Linked DNA regions of Callithrix jacchus. The protein of the gene in region 3 purifies or fractionates together with the protein of the main gene of each other region. This does not show direct contact. Links are inferred from orthologs where the notes say so. Each region holds a gene or a part of one and is shown on either strand. Other genes may lie near its edges.

Region 1 (3,634 bases), on a different chromosome or scaffold from region 3:
ATCAGGGAGACATCCTCACTTTCCTGGAATGAATACCATTTAATCATGGGGGTATGATTTTAATATTTGCCTGAATCTATCTGCTAAAATTTTATTTGGGCTTTTTACTTCCATAGTCAAAAGTTTTATTAATCTATAGTTTCTGTTTTTCTGAAGCTGGGATTATATGGGATTCATAAAAATGAGTTTAGGAAGTTTCTATGCATTTATTCTTCAGAAAATTTAGGAACATAGGATCATCTTATATCTATTCCTTATCAATTTTAACAAACTAATTCTTGGAGATTGGTCTCTTCAAGTTTTTACTTCTTGAGTAAATTTAAGAAATTTATGTTTCCAATAAAATCCATTTCCCTTTCTTTCTATCATCACTCATATTACCTTTATTATTTTATTTATTGTTAATTAATGCTTTTTAGAGGTATATTTTTAGACTTCCTTGAGGTTTGTCAACTTTATTAGTATTCTAAAGATTTCTAATGTATTTGAATCTTTTCATATTTGTATTTAGAAATAAAATCTTCTGCCAAATAGCAATTATTTACTAATCTATTCATATTATGTTTAGTTTTTAATAATTATTTCTAAAATGGGGTAGAACTAAATTGCCACTACTCATTTAGAGTTTATGTGCTTTTCAAAGGGCTTGACTTATCCCAGGTAATAAACAGCTAACCTACCAACAAGCACCACATTGTAACATACAGGTTGTAGTAATGGACAAATTGATTGACAGCTGAATCTTGATTATCAGTGAAACAGATGTAAGGCTCCCTGGATAATTTACAAATAGAAATAATAGAGTACTTTAATTTAGCCATTTATTTTAATATCTTCTCAACTATTATAACTATGCACAACAGTGCAAAAATCATAGTAAATATGAATAGTTTTCATTGTCTTCTTTGTTCTCTGATGCATCTCCAAATGCATCAAGGGGAAAAAAAGTCAGAACAAAGAAGTGGCCTGAACAATTCAAACTGTACAATCATTTTCTCCACATGATTGCCCCAATAGATTTGTTATTCTAAATTGCTGGCTGGCTAGACAGTAGGCAGCTATCTGCTTAGCTCATTCTTCTGGAGCATGCAAAACAGCAGTCCCCAAAACAGGGCATGCAAGGCAGCCAGCTGTCAAACAAAAAGATAATATGAGAAGTCTCATTCCTGCTTATTTTTACCTTATTCTTTTTAAATGCCTTATTTGTAGGTATATCTTATATAATAGCATAGTCATGCACCTAAATAACTTATAAGTAGATAACTACATCTATTATATGTACTAGAAAATGTTTTACTGAAAGGGATATAAGTTAAAAAGCTGTGGAGAATCATGAATTTGAAACCTGCTTTAGCCACTTATTAGTCATGTGAATTTGGTTGACTCTTTTATAATCTGTAAAATGGGAGTAAGAACACCTGTCCTTCCTTCCTCACAGTGTTGTATTGAGAACAAAATAAAGCAACTGTAGTAGTTTGTAAATTCTATAAAGGCTGTGCAAATTGTGAATTTTTTTTTAAGTTTAAGTTTTTAAAATCTTTTCCTCAAATGTATTCAGTATCCCCATTTAATCTTTACAGAAGACCATAATTGAAGTATTGGAAAGACATTTTAGTTTCAGGATCAAAGGAGAAAACTGTTTAAAGTTTAACAGTTCTCTCATTCTAAAAGAGATATGTTTCTTTCCAACTTCTCAGAAAGTTTTGATGGCCAGATATTTTAAACAAAATAAACTGGGGAATTAATAAAGGAAAGAAATTAAAAGTAAGTCTGAGATTTATCTGTAACTTCAGGAGAAAAGAATTTTTACAAAAGGGATAGAAAAAGATAAGGTTTTTAAAAACAAGGAACTGAAAAAGGAAGGACTAAAGTTTTATAACTTTAGGAGCCAGGATTTTGGTAATTATCCCAGAAATTTCTTAAGTATTTCATTGACCTGCATACTTCCTTGAATGAAAATGTTGAGGTTAATAGCTAACCTACTGCTTGCTGCTTCTTTTAGCACTTTTTTTTTCTCTCTCTCAATAATAGGTTGAAGCTCCATTCATACCAAAGTTTAGAGGCTCTGGAGATACCAGCAACTTTGATGACTATGAAGAAGAAGATATCCGTGTGTCTATAACAGAAAAATGTGGAAGAGAATTTGATGAATTTTAAAGAGGAACAAGATGACATCCGAGCTCACACTCAGTGATTGCACTCTGTTGAGAGATAAGGTAGAGCTGAGACCGTCCTTGCTGAAGCAGTTACCCAGTTCCTTCATTCCAACTGAGTGAGGTCTTTATTGCCATCATCCCGTGTGTGCACTCTGCATCCACCTATGTAACAAGGCACCGCTAAGCAAGCATTGTCTGTGCCATAACACAGTACTAGACCACTTTCTTACTTCTCTTTGGGTTGTCTTTCTCCTCTCCTACATCCATTTCTTCCTTTTCCAGTTTCATTGTTTTCTCTAAACAGTGCTCCATTTTATTTTGTTGGTGTTTCAGATGGGCAGTGTTATGGCTATGTGATATTTGAAGGGAAGGATAAGTGTTGCTTTTAGTAGTTCATGCCAATATTGTTGTTGGTCAATGGCTTGAAGATAAACTTTCTAATAATTATTTTTACTTTGAGTAGCTCAGATTTGGTTTTGCCAAAACTCTTGATAATTTTTGAAGACTGTCTTATCACCAAGGAAATGTATACAAATTAAGACTAACTTTCTTGGAATTCACTATTCTGGCAATAAATTTTGGCAGACTAATACAAACAGCTAGACCCAGAAATTTGGATTGCTACAAATCAGAGGTTCTAGTTCCCTTTCCCTCCTTTTATGTCCTCCTCCCCTTGAGCAATGAAGTGACCAGCCTTTGTAGTGTGACAAATGTGTCTCATTCAGCAGGAAAAACTAATGACATGGATCATCACTCAGATTCTCTCACTTGGTACCAGCATTTTTGTAGGTATTAGAGAAGAGTTTAAGTTTTCTAAACCTTAATTGTTCCTTAAGGATTTTAGCCAGTATTTTAATAGAACCTGATTAATGAAAGTTTTAAAGTTTCTTTTATAGTTCTCATCATAAAATTTTTAAAGGAAAATAAGCAAACTAAAAAGAACATTGGTTTGGATAAATACTTATACTTTTCAAAGTCAAAAAAAGGCTTGATTATTGCAACAATATAGAGGTACTTATCTTTAAATGAGGGTTAACTGTTTTGTTTTGTAACCGTTAAAAATGAAAGAAGTTGTTTCCAGCTAATGATTCTGGTGTACTATAGTTGTGAGCCTAGGGTAGGGGCACTGCTGCAACTTCTGCTTTCATCCCATGCCTCATCAATGAGGAAAGGGAACAAAGTGTATCAAACTGCCACAATTGCATTTTCATTTTGAGGTATGATATTTTCAGAGAGTTCATCATTTCTAACCTCTTTTCTCTCAATAAACAGAATGTCTAAACGATCGTGCAGATACAATTTTAGTATTTGAGAGGTTAGTTTTTTTCCTACACCTTTTTTGCCAACTGACTCAACAACATTGCTGTCAGGTGGAAATTTCAAGCACTTTTGCACATTTATTTCAGTGTTTGTTGAGAATCCATGGCTTAACTCAGTTGTTTTGCTTTTTCTTTGCTTTTAATTTTCCCCATCTGATT
Region 2 (4,974 bases), on a different chromosome or scaffold from region 3:
GCCAGGTCCCAGGGGTATCTTCAGCCAGTGCCAGCCACAACCTGAGCCCCACTTGGCTGTCTGATCTGGGCACCAGCCCCCTGGGGCCGTTGCTCTCTCTCCATTCTTCCAGCTTGGCCAGAGCCTGGGGCTTAGTCTTTTTTCTTTAGCTCTACCCATGGCTTTGCCATCTTTGGGTGCGGATTCCCCACATTCCACTCCAGGGCTCATGCTAGACCCCTGCCTTCTTGGGAGGAGGCAGACTCTGTCCTGCCCTGGCACAAAAGATGGTACCACAGGGGACTGACTACAGGATGCTTAACTGGTGCCTCCCAAGGTCTGGACATTCTCCTGACCCTAGTCGGGCCGGCATCTGGCAGATGAAATCCAGGTGCCCCCTGCAGGCTGGCCTGGCTACTGCCCCCGCCCCTGCCCCATCCTTACAAGAGGGCAAATTTTGTCTAACTCCATCTTGTCAGAATCAGAGTGCCTCAAAGCAGAGGGACTTCCTTCCTCATCTTATTTCCTTATCTGGGAGCCTCTGGGAGGAAGTACAGCTTCGGGTGTTTCCCAAAGTGTGACATGGTCCCATTGGCAGAACATGACATGATTTTCAGTATGTTTCATTTATCTAGTTACACTGTATTTTAATGTGTATCAGAGAAAATATAACTGGTATAGCAAACCCAAGATTTCATTGATATTATTGTTTAGAAAGAGCTCAAAGTTTACATCTGAAAAGAAGTGAGAAAAATTTTTATTATTTTAAATTAAAGAAAATATGATAAAAGTAAAAATCTGGGAGGCAGCTGAAGAATGTCAGAGTTGGGAAATTCTGGGATTCAGGAAGTTTGCTGGTAGATGGATCTGGATGTGAATCCTGCCTCTGTGACATCACCTATGTCATGGATGTCATTTCTTTCTTCCTTTTTTTTTTTGAGACGGAGTCTTGCTCTGTTGCCAAGCTGGAGTGCAGTGGCACGATCTCAGCTCACTGCAACCTCCATCTCCCAGGTTCAAGCGATTCCCCTGCCTCAGCCTCCCGAGTAGCTGGGACTACAGGCGTGCGCCACCACACCCAGCTTATTTTCTTGTATTTTAGTAGAGACGGGGTTTCACCATGACCAAGATGGTCTCGATCTCCTGATCTCATGATTCACCTGCCTCGGCCTCCCAAAGTGCTGGGATTACAGGCATGAGCCACTGTGCTCGGCCCGTCATGGATGTCATTTATATCAGAGGGCTCCTTTGAAAATCTGGATAACAGCCCGTTATGAAAGTCACCAGAGTAGATGTATCTATCCGCCTGGCCATTTGGCCAGTGGTGCAGCCTAGACGCCCAATAAATAGTAGCTCTATTTCAGTGATCATTCATTCCTGGGTGTCTGACCTGTGCCCTGAGAGAATCAGCGGTTCCTTCCAGAGCCTCTGATCTTTTTCCTGGGATCCTTTTCTTTGTGCGGCTTTCCACCCCCGACCACGTGTCTGATAGCCTTGAAGGTTTCACAGGACTGTCATCTCCCCAACTTCCAGTGGAGCCACCGCAATACATTGCTGCCCGCCTCTACCTTCCACCTCCCAGCTGGCCTCACCTGCTGGGGGCCTGGCTCCTCCCCCTCTGCCTAGTCCCCTCCAAGCTCATGCCCGGACCTTTTTTGGACACCACCCACCTGCTCCTCGGTCATCAAGCACTCAGCTATGGGCACTTCCCTCCCCGGCCCCCTCCCATTGGTGACATGTCAGGCCTCTTCATGGTTGCTCTGTGACTCTGAGTTCTGCTATTTGAATCCATATGGGAATAAAGTTCCCTGGCTTTCATCCCTTTCAGGGAGGGGGCATTCCGAGAACTCAGATGCTGGGGTTTGAGACCCAAAATTGGCCTGCCTTTTCAGTTCCGAACTATTTCTGGGTAATCAGACGGGATCCCAGTCCCTTCCAGCTTTCAGACTGGAGTGAGAACAATTTAAGAGCTGGAAGCACTGGGAATGGGTTTTAAGACCATTTCTGAGGGTATTTCCAGATACAGAATCTCCTCTGGCTGGCTGGAAAAGGCCAACAGCATTTGGGGGCAAGTGGGTAAAACAGGTCTCTCCCTGGCTGAGTGCTGGGAATGATCAGAATCTATTTGTTCCTTGGCAAAACAAATCACTAGACGTCACCCATTACTCTCTTTGACCGCCTCCACCTCCCCAGTGCTCTTTCTGACCATCCCAATTCAAAGCGAACGAACCTCGCTAAACCCAGACACTTTTCATCTCAAGCCAGGAGCGGTGGAAGAAGCCCCAGGGACTGGGTGAATGACGAAGCCTCAGTTGGGAAACAACCATTTATTGAGAGGCCCTCCAAGGAGCCTAAGGCTCACTGCAAGGCAGGAACCGCGAGGGGGCTCTGGCACCGCCCCCTACCCCAACGCAGGAAAGACGACGCAATGAATCCCAACAAGACCAGCTCAAACTTGGCTTTGGAAGCACTTAAGCAGTTCTCTAGGTTCATAAACAGTCTGCTACCCAGCCAGGAACAGACGCTTCCTTGGAGGACGGAGCACAAGCAGAGAAGCAGAGTGACAGAGTGACAGGATGAGAGAGACAGAGGGACCCAGAAAGATCCTGTCCCCCATGCCAAGTGACACAGAAGAAAAAAACAGTGCTGGAGGTGGGCCTGGGAAAAGCTCAGGGGGCAGGGTGGGTTTGGAAGGGGGGCCTGTGCTAAGGTGAAGAGGGGAAGGGCAGGAGAAAGATGGCGGGGGCTGGAGGGGGGAGGGGTGTGGTCACCAAGTGGCCAAGGTCCCTGCGCGGTGGAGGCAGAGAGACCCCATCTCATTCCCAAACTGGCAGAAACCTGGGTCGGGGTCAGGCAGAGGATCCCATGGGAGAGGTGAGTGAGGAAGTGGGGGGGATTAGAATCTGGGGAGAGGGGCCAGGAAAGGAGGGGTAGGCTGGTGTCAGGGCCCCGTGTGGGGCCCCAGCGGTCATACGTGCCATGGTTGGCAGTGACAGCTGGGGGGGAGCACGGTCTTTGCAGTGTGGGGCGGCCCTAGAGGAAGGGGACCCCTACAGGGGGTACTCTGCGGGCCCGTGGGCCCCAGCCTTGGACAGGCCGGGGCAAGGGGCGCTGGGGGGTAGGCAGAGAGGAATGGGGGGGCCTCGTGGGGGGAGGGGCCAGGCGGTGATGGACAAGGCCGGGGCTGGCAGCGCAGGGCCGGGATCGGGGTCACGGCCCGGGCACTCACCGCTCTCCTGCTCGCTGCCCTTCTTGGCGGCGGCGGCGTTGCCCATCGCGGCGGCGGCGGCCGGGGCCGGTCCCGGAGCTGCGGCGTTGCGGGTGCTGGCGGCGGCCGGCGGCCCCGGAGCGCGCTGGGCGGCGGCGGCGGCGGCCCTCGGGCTGGCTGCGCTAGCTGCGGCGCCGCGACCCCCGCCCAGCCCCTGCTTCCCGCGTCTCTCCGCGCCCGCCCGCCCGGGAACCTCAGCCCAAGTCCGCTGCTGCCGTCCGTGACGCCCCCGCAGCCCGCCGCTCATTGGCCTAGGACGCCCTGACTGACGGCTCCGCGCCGTCGTCCATTGGTCATCCCTCGGGAAGGCCGCGCCGCTATAGGCTCTCAGCCTCGTGACGTATACCGGGGACTCTCGGCCATTCACACACTCGCGAGGCCGCAGCTGGGCGGGCAGACGAGTCTGATTGGTCAAGAAGCTGGAAAGGGCCCGGGGTCCGCCCCGCGAGGCCACCGATTGGCGGAGGCGCGCTGTCCCGCAAACCCCCAGTAGAACGCTCAGTGTCAATCCGGGGGTGAGAGGGCGGGGCGGAGGCGCAGTCTGCGGGCCCCGGCCGGCTGGGCGGAGCGGCGGAGGCTGGCGGGCGGCCGCGCAGCACTCGGAGGCTCAGGAGGCGGCTCCGGCGGGCTCCCGGCCGGCCCCGCGCACGCCGCAGTCCCCCGCCCCCGCCCAGTGCGGCAGCGGCTGTCGGCCAGCTGGGGTTGGCGCCGCGGCCTGCCCGGCGCAGCCGCTGTCCACCTGCCAGTGGGGGAGGAGAGCGGCCGGCGCGCGGGTCAGAGGTTGCCCGGTCGCCGCCGGCGTCATTCATAAGGCCTGGCGCTGGGCAGTCGTGGTGGCCAGGCCTGCTTGGGGGCCAGGCCGCGGAGGCTCCTGGGTTTTCCCAGCCGCAGGCAGGAGGATGCCGGCCCCGGCGCAAGGGGTGGCTGAGAGGGGGCGCTCCGTGTCCACCCCTTTGCTGGGCCCCAGTCCTGGGCTCCTGCCAGTAGTAAGAGCTGGCACCTACTTAACGCTCCTTCGCACCATACTCCCATCGCGTAGGTGCTACCATCATCACTCCCATTGCACAGATGAAGAATCTGGGGTACAGCCAGGCAGATTCCCTACTCACATTCCCTGTCTGTTTCCTGTCTGGGCAATGCAAAGGGAACCTGCCCCTTCCTTCGGGATTCTCTTTCAGTACGCACCTAGCCAAGGACAGTCTGGGTTTCCCAACTGCGACACTACTGACAGCGGAGGTGGGGCTGGATCATTCTCTGCTGGGGGGTGTCTTGTGCACCACTAGGTGTTAAACAACATCCCCGCCTCTACCCACTGGGTGCTAGTAGCCCCTCCTATTCCTGCTGGCCGTGGCAACCACCGTCTCCCGACGTTGGTGAATGTGCTCTTGCGGGGCAGAACTGCTCCTGATTGAGAAGCACTGATGAGGAGTGCTTTTTACATTATTTTTTAATATAAAAACATTTTAACATACAAACAGCAATCACAACAGCATCCACATGGCAGCGAGGGGACCGGGGCACTGCCAGGGGACGGGAGAAGGCAGGTCACCTGGACTCGGGAGGGCTAGCTGGGCTCAGAACTACAAGCCCATCTGCTGGTTAGACTTGAACAGCCCACACCCGCAGTCCCAGGCCAACCACAGTTCCGGGGAGGGTCAGGGCCTTTCTATGGATTCCCGGGAAATGGCTGACCACTCCGCCTCTGGATGGTTACATGGTAAGGTTTA
Region 3 (5,152 bases):
GCCAGCTTTGGGCTTCAATGCTTTAGCTGCTTTCTTTCTTCTCTTGAAGCAAAGCATGGATGTTTTTTCCTCCTGTCTTTCAGCCTGAGGACTACCTTCTGCTGATCTCTTCTCATCCTTGTTTTCTACATGAATTTCTGAAACTGTGGTTGCCATTTTCACACTGTACTCTTATTCTCTAGAGAACTATATTCTCTCTTCCTTAGCCTTTTGTGACAAAAAGATGGGCAAAAATGTCACACTAGGTAAAATTTCTTCCAGGTGTATTCATTCCTTTCATTTTACTCCATGCAGTTGTTTTAGGTGGTTTCTCTAGTATAGAAATGCCTACTTTCTCTATTGCTTGCAATTTCTCTCCTTAAATTTCTTCATGGAAGCCCTTTACTGGATAAATTTTTGCTTTATTTAAAGATCAACCTGGTGAGAGAAAAGAAAGTGATATTTTATTTCACTATGAGGCTTTTCACTATTATTTTCTATGGAGACTTTTTCAGTTGAATGTATAAGATTCTACCAGACATATTTTCCATGTATTTACTAATGAAATGGCTGGAGAATAAAGACTGGGGTTTATTTTGGCCCTATTAAAGAGTTCAATGTAATTCTATTTTGTTTTATCCTCTTTGTTGAAACTTCATTTTGGATTACTCTGCAAGTCTGATATTATCAGTTCTTTAGTTGTGCTGTCTGTATGAATTGCTTATGATTCTAAAGTGCAAGTTAAGCAATCAACAACAAGAACCAAAAATGAAGTACAGGATAAAAAGCAAGCTAATGTAATTTTTATCACACTCAATAAATAACTTAAAACTGCAAAGGACTTTAGAGATTATTTGAGATTACTCAAATCCAGCCAAATGACAAAACTGAGCTCCAAAAGGGAGCAACTGTCTTGTCAAAAGCCATGCGGATAGACAAAGTCATAGCCAGAGTTACAAGTAGAGACTTTGACACTCTAGTTTTTCCATTATAACATAAGGTTTCTGTTCTAAAAATGTATGTTCCATCAAGGAAGTGCTACTTTTCATACATACTCTTAGAAAAATTTAGCATTACTGTCATTCTACACTCTTAAATTAGTTGTATAATTTTGACATTTTGATTTAAGTACTATATCTGCTGTATCATGTTTCCACCATAATATGCACATAGTTGGAGGTCAGTAATAATAGCTGACATTTATTGAGCAATTCTTGGGTATTAGGCAGTGCACACACTTTACATACATTTCTATTCCTCACCACAATATTACCAAGGTGGTACAGATGAAGCAGTTTGGCTGAGATTAAGGCATCGCTGTAACAGAGCTCAGATTAAACACAAGATTACTTGTTGCTTAAAGCTTATGTTCTGAAACTGGGCTTTAAGAGTTTCATTAGAAAATGAATCCTTTGGGGATACTAATCTGCAGTATATTCATAGTAAAGAAATTTAAAAACTGATTAATGGTCATTTAACCACAAGGTACCCATTAATCAACTCATAACTGAACCAAGACCAGACTGAGTTCTTGTTATTTGAAAACCAAGCTTTTGAAATTCTTTATATTTTATTTTTTTGGTTCAGGAAATAATTTAAAAGCCAAAAATAAGTTGACAAACTATGCAATTGGCAAACTGTTAGATAATATAAAAGTGTATTGAAAATTTAATCCACAGAATGGTATGATAGCACTAAAGAATGGAAATGGGAGGTGATTATCTAACAAAGATCCTATGAATTTTAGTGGGTGGACGCCCTAAAATAAGCAAAGGGACTCATTCTTTATACTGTTTACATGTAAATCCTTCACTGAAGTTTCATTTGGGTAACCCATAATTTTATGAGCTGTAGAAGGAACTGGAACCCTGAAAATCAGTTTATGATAAGTAAATATTCCCTTAGGTTGGGTGTTTCATACTTGATGCCTCTACGAGAAAGATAAAGTCATTCTAGAACAATGATAGAACTAAAATATGAACCATTTGACAGTGTTTCTCCTCACATTTATATGCTGCAGTGAGCACTAGAACCTCAGCTGATAACTTTAAATCTTCTCACCTCTTGTGAGTTTTCAGCACCTGAGCATTTTTGTTAAGCAGAGGATGTATTATCACATAATAGAAATATTGAAATGAGATGTTTAGGAGTGTATCATTTAGAAACTAACCTGGATTGTGCAAAGCCAATGGTTTGAGAAGCTTACTTAAATGTATATACACTCTAGAAATAAAATGAATACCCAAACAGAAATTTAATTGAAAGGGGGAAAATAATTCTGTCTGTAGATATTAAAACTTTGCAGAATGTCAGACTGCAAATGATTTCCCTTTAACCAGCAAGGGTATCTTTATCGCCTCAGGAAATCTTAAAGTCCCTGTGCTCATTTCCTGACAGAATTGCAAGTCTCCTGTCACAGAAAACACCCTTTTTCCCTTTCTCCCTTGAGCAGCAAAGAGCAACCACTACCCGAGGAAAGCAATGTATCCTTCCCAGCACCAGATATGGACCACGAAGCTTCCTCCTGGAGGAAGGAATCTCGAATTCTGGCTTGATGCCCCTTATGGCAGGAGACAGCGCGCAGGATAAAGTACTCAAAAAGGAAAATGCTGGGGGCGTGGAACAGATAACCCAGCTTCAAGCTGTCTGTAGAATTATAATGTAATGGCTATAAACCCAAAATCACATTTCCCCAAAGGGATAAAGAAGGAAAAAAGCCACCGGCAACCCTTGCTTCTAAGACCAGCTGTAACGCGAAGGAGATAGGTGGGCAGACCTGATGAGGGTCGCCCTGTCCGCGGATTCCTGCAGACAAGCCACCTCCCGCGATCCCAGCACCTCAGGGTGCCCGGATCCCCAGTGTCCAATGGACACCCCCTGCTCACTCTGCGATCCGCAGACCTGACACTGCCCCCGGCCCTCCTCCCCCGCAGCCTCCCCGCCCTGCCTTCACTCACCGAGGGCGCAGGGGTCCTTGGTCAACACTGCTCCTGAGGTCGCGGCGCGCTCGCGGGGCCCGGCACCCAGGCCTCCAGGGAGCCGCGGTCGCGCACGGAGCAAGGCGCCCTCTGCGGAACCCGCCGCCTAGTGCGCCCCCTCCCCACCGCGCGGGGACAGACAGCCCGCAGCACCAATGCGAGCGGAGCGAGCGGGCAGGGGCGGGGCGTCCGCGGGAGGTGGGGGGCGGTGCGGGCGCCCGGACCCACCTGCAGCAGCAGCCTGCCTGCCGCGGGGAAGTCCACCATGCTCCGCCCGGACGCCAATCCCTGCCGCCTGACCACCTCAGCGCCGAGGCGAGGACGGCGAGAGAGCCAGCCGGAAGGTTGGGGGACCGCGGGGACCAGGGCAACGAACCCCGCGTTTTCTGAGACGCAAAGTAGTGAGGTCGGGTTTCAAATTATAGACGGTCCCATTACACTTCCCCTCTCCTCCGCCTCAGAAAATTTAGACAAGGCAGACATCCCATTTTAAAAGAGGGATTCAAAACTGCATAGAATAGGTGTCCTGTTTGTCTGAAGCGAAAATTACATATATGAATGGAAACGGAAAGAAACCCGACTTTCTGAGGAGTGGCTTGAGTGTTAAGGAGTTCATCGTGGTTCATCACCAAACAGGCTCTCAGACCTTTGTTTCCCAATAGTACGCAGGTGGAGGTGATTCGCGCAGAACTTTGACCTGCAGGAGCAGCTGCATCTCTATGCAGACAAGGTGAGAAAGGCACAAGAACCCAGCTCCATCCATCTTATACTTTACATAGTAACAAAAATAAGTTGAGGTAGCTTACAAGTTACCCATGATTCCCTTTAGGACATTCCTAGCTGCCTACTTGACATCGCCACTGTCAGTGAAGTGGGGTGGTGGGGTGGGGAGGCGGGTGGAGAACAGGAGAGGACATTGCTCACAATTCCAGTCTCAGTCACAGCAAAGGGTGCAGGCACCATCTGCCCACCTGATTGACTAGGTTACGTATCTTCATGCATTTTCGGAGCTTGCCATAGTGAAAAATACCACAAGTATTTATTTGTACACATAAAGCATTAACATGTACTTTATGAAAGGTGATGCTGTTAGAGTTGAAGCTGACTTGCTTTTGGGTTAGTACTCCCTATGAGAGTATTCCTGGGCGATCCAGCCATAAAGTCTAGTAGAATCCCTCACAATCCCAGCTTCCTCGTCTGTCCCCCACAGCATAGCATCCAGATGAACCTAGTAAGGTGGAGTGAAGAACTACTGAAAAGCAGCTGTGCTCATCTCCTTTCTTCAACAGGATCAAGATATTAGGGCATATAAATGTCAGGTGTCCATTTTTGGATGTTTTTCTGGAAATGTTTTATATTTGTAAGATTCTGTAGTTTCCACAGAGGCTTACCAAGGATAGAACTATTGGAACACAAAAGCAAAGGCAAATATAAGCTGTCAAGATCTTAAATTTACAGGTAAAAGAGACAAGAGTTGTAAAGCAGGAAAATCCATAAGCATCAAGTTTAGTTGTAATTAAGAATTCAGGGCTGGGTGCAGTGGCTGACTTTGTGAGGCCAAGGCAGGAGGATGGCTTGAGTCCTAGAGTTTGAGACCAGCCTGGGCAACATAGGGAGATAAAAAAAATTTAAAAATTAGCTAGGCGTGCGTGGTGGCACACCTGTAGTCCTGGTTACTCAGGATGAGATGGGGATCACTTGGGCCCAGGAGGTCAAGGCTGCTGTGAGCTGCTAATGTGCCACTGCACACCAGCCTGAGCAACCAAGTGAGACCCTGTCTCAAAACAAAACAAAACTCAGTCAACCTTGTTCATTCAGCAAACATGTCTATGAAAATGTTCTTCATGTCTCTCTATGGGTTGCTAGCCCTGCTTCTTGCCAGTTTTGAACTTTAAGCCAAAAGAATTCCATGATACTCATGAGAACTATTCCTTATTGAGATCCAAGGTTTCTGAAAACTAGCAGACCTGGGAGTTGCAACAATTTCAGACCAAAAAATAAGATGAGCTTATTTAGGTGCAGACAGGGTAGAATAGCTGTCTTATTTTTATTTGGGACAGGATCTTGCTCTGTTGCCCAGGCTGGAGTGCAAGTGGCACAATCCCTGGCTCAGTCCTCCACAGGCATGTGACTTCATGCCCAGATGCTGCTGCTGCTTTTTTTTTTTTTTTTGGTAGAGACAGGGTCTCCTTATG

Evidence for each region.
Region 1: the proteins of AKAP5 (region 3) and PRKACB purify together in Homo sapiens (affinity purification with mass spectrometry; 4 studies listed by BioGRID and IntAct, counting the BioPlex papers as one, with this or other methods). This does not show direct contact. The link is inferred for Callithrix jacchus from reciprocal best matches to the Homo sapiens genes AKAP5 and PRKACB.
Region 2: the proteins of AKAP5 (region 3) and PRKACA purify together in Homo sapiens (affinity purification with mass spectrometry; 6 studies listed by BioGRID and IntAct, with this or other methods). This does not show direct contact. The link is inferred for Callithrix jacchus from reciprocal best matches to the Homo sapiens genes AKAP5 and PRKACA.

The regions. Positions count from the first base shown.
Region 1 is NC_133508.1:121,454,645-121,458,278, forward strand, and holds part of PRKACB (cAMP-dependent protein kinase catalytic subunit beta), read left to right. Parts: intron 1-2,031; coding exon 2,032-2,157; 3' UTR 2,158-3,634. UniProt on the Homo sapiens protein: Mediates cAMP-dependent signaling triggered by receptor binding to GPCRs.
Region 2 is NC_133523.1:12,893,760-12,898,733, forward strand, and holds the start of PRKACA (cAMP-dependent protein kinase catalytic subunit alpha), read right to left. Parts: upstream 3,455-4,974; 5' UTR 3,255-3,454; coding exon 3,209-3,254; intron 1-3,208.
Region 3 is NC_133509.1:99,114,822-99,119,973, reverse strand, and holds the start of AKAP5 (A-kinase anchor protein 5), read right to left. Parts: upstream 3,050-5,152; 5' UTR 2,937-3,049; intron 418-2,936; 5' UTR 157-417; coding exon 1-156. UniProt on the Homo sapiens protein: Multivalent scaffold protein that anchors the cAMP-dependent protein kinase/PKA to cytoskeletal and/or organelle-associated proteins, targeting the signal carried by cAMP to specific intracellular effectors.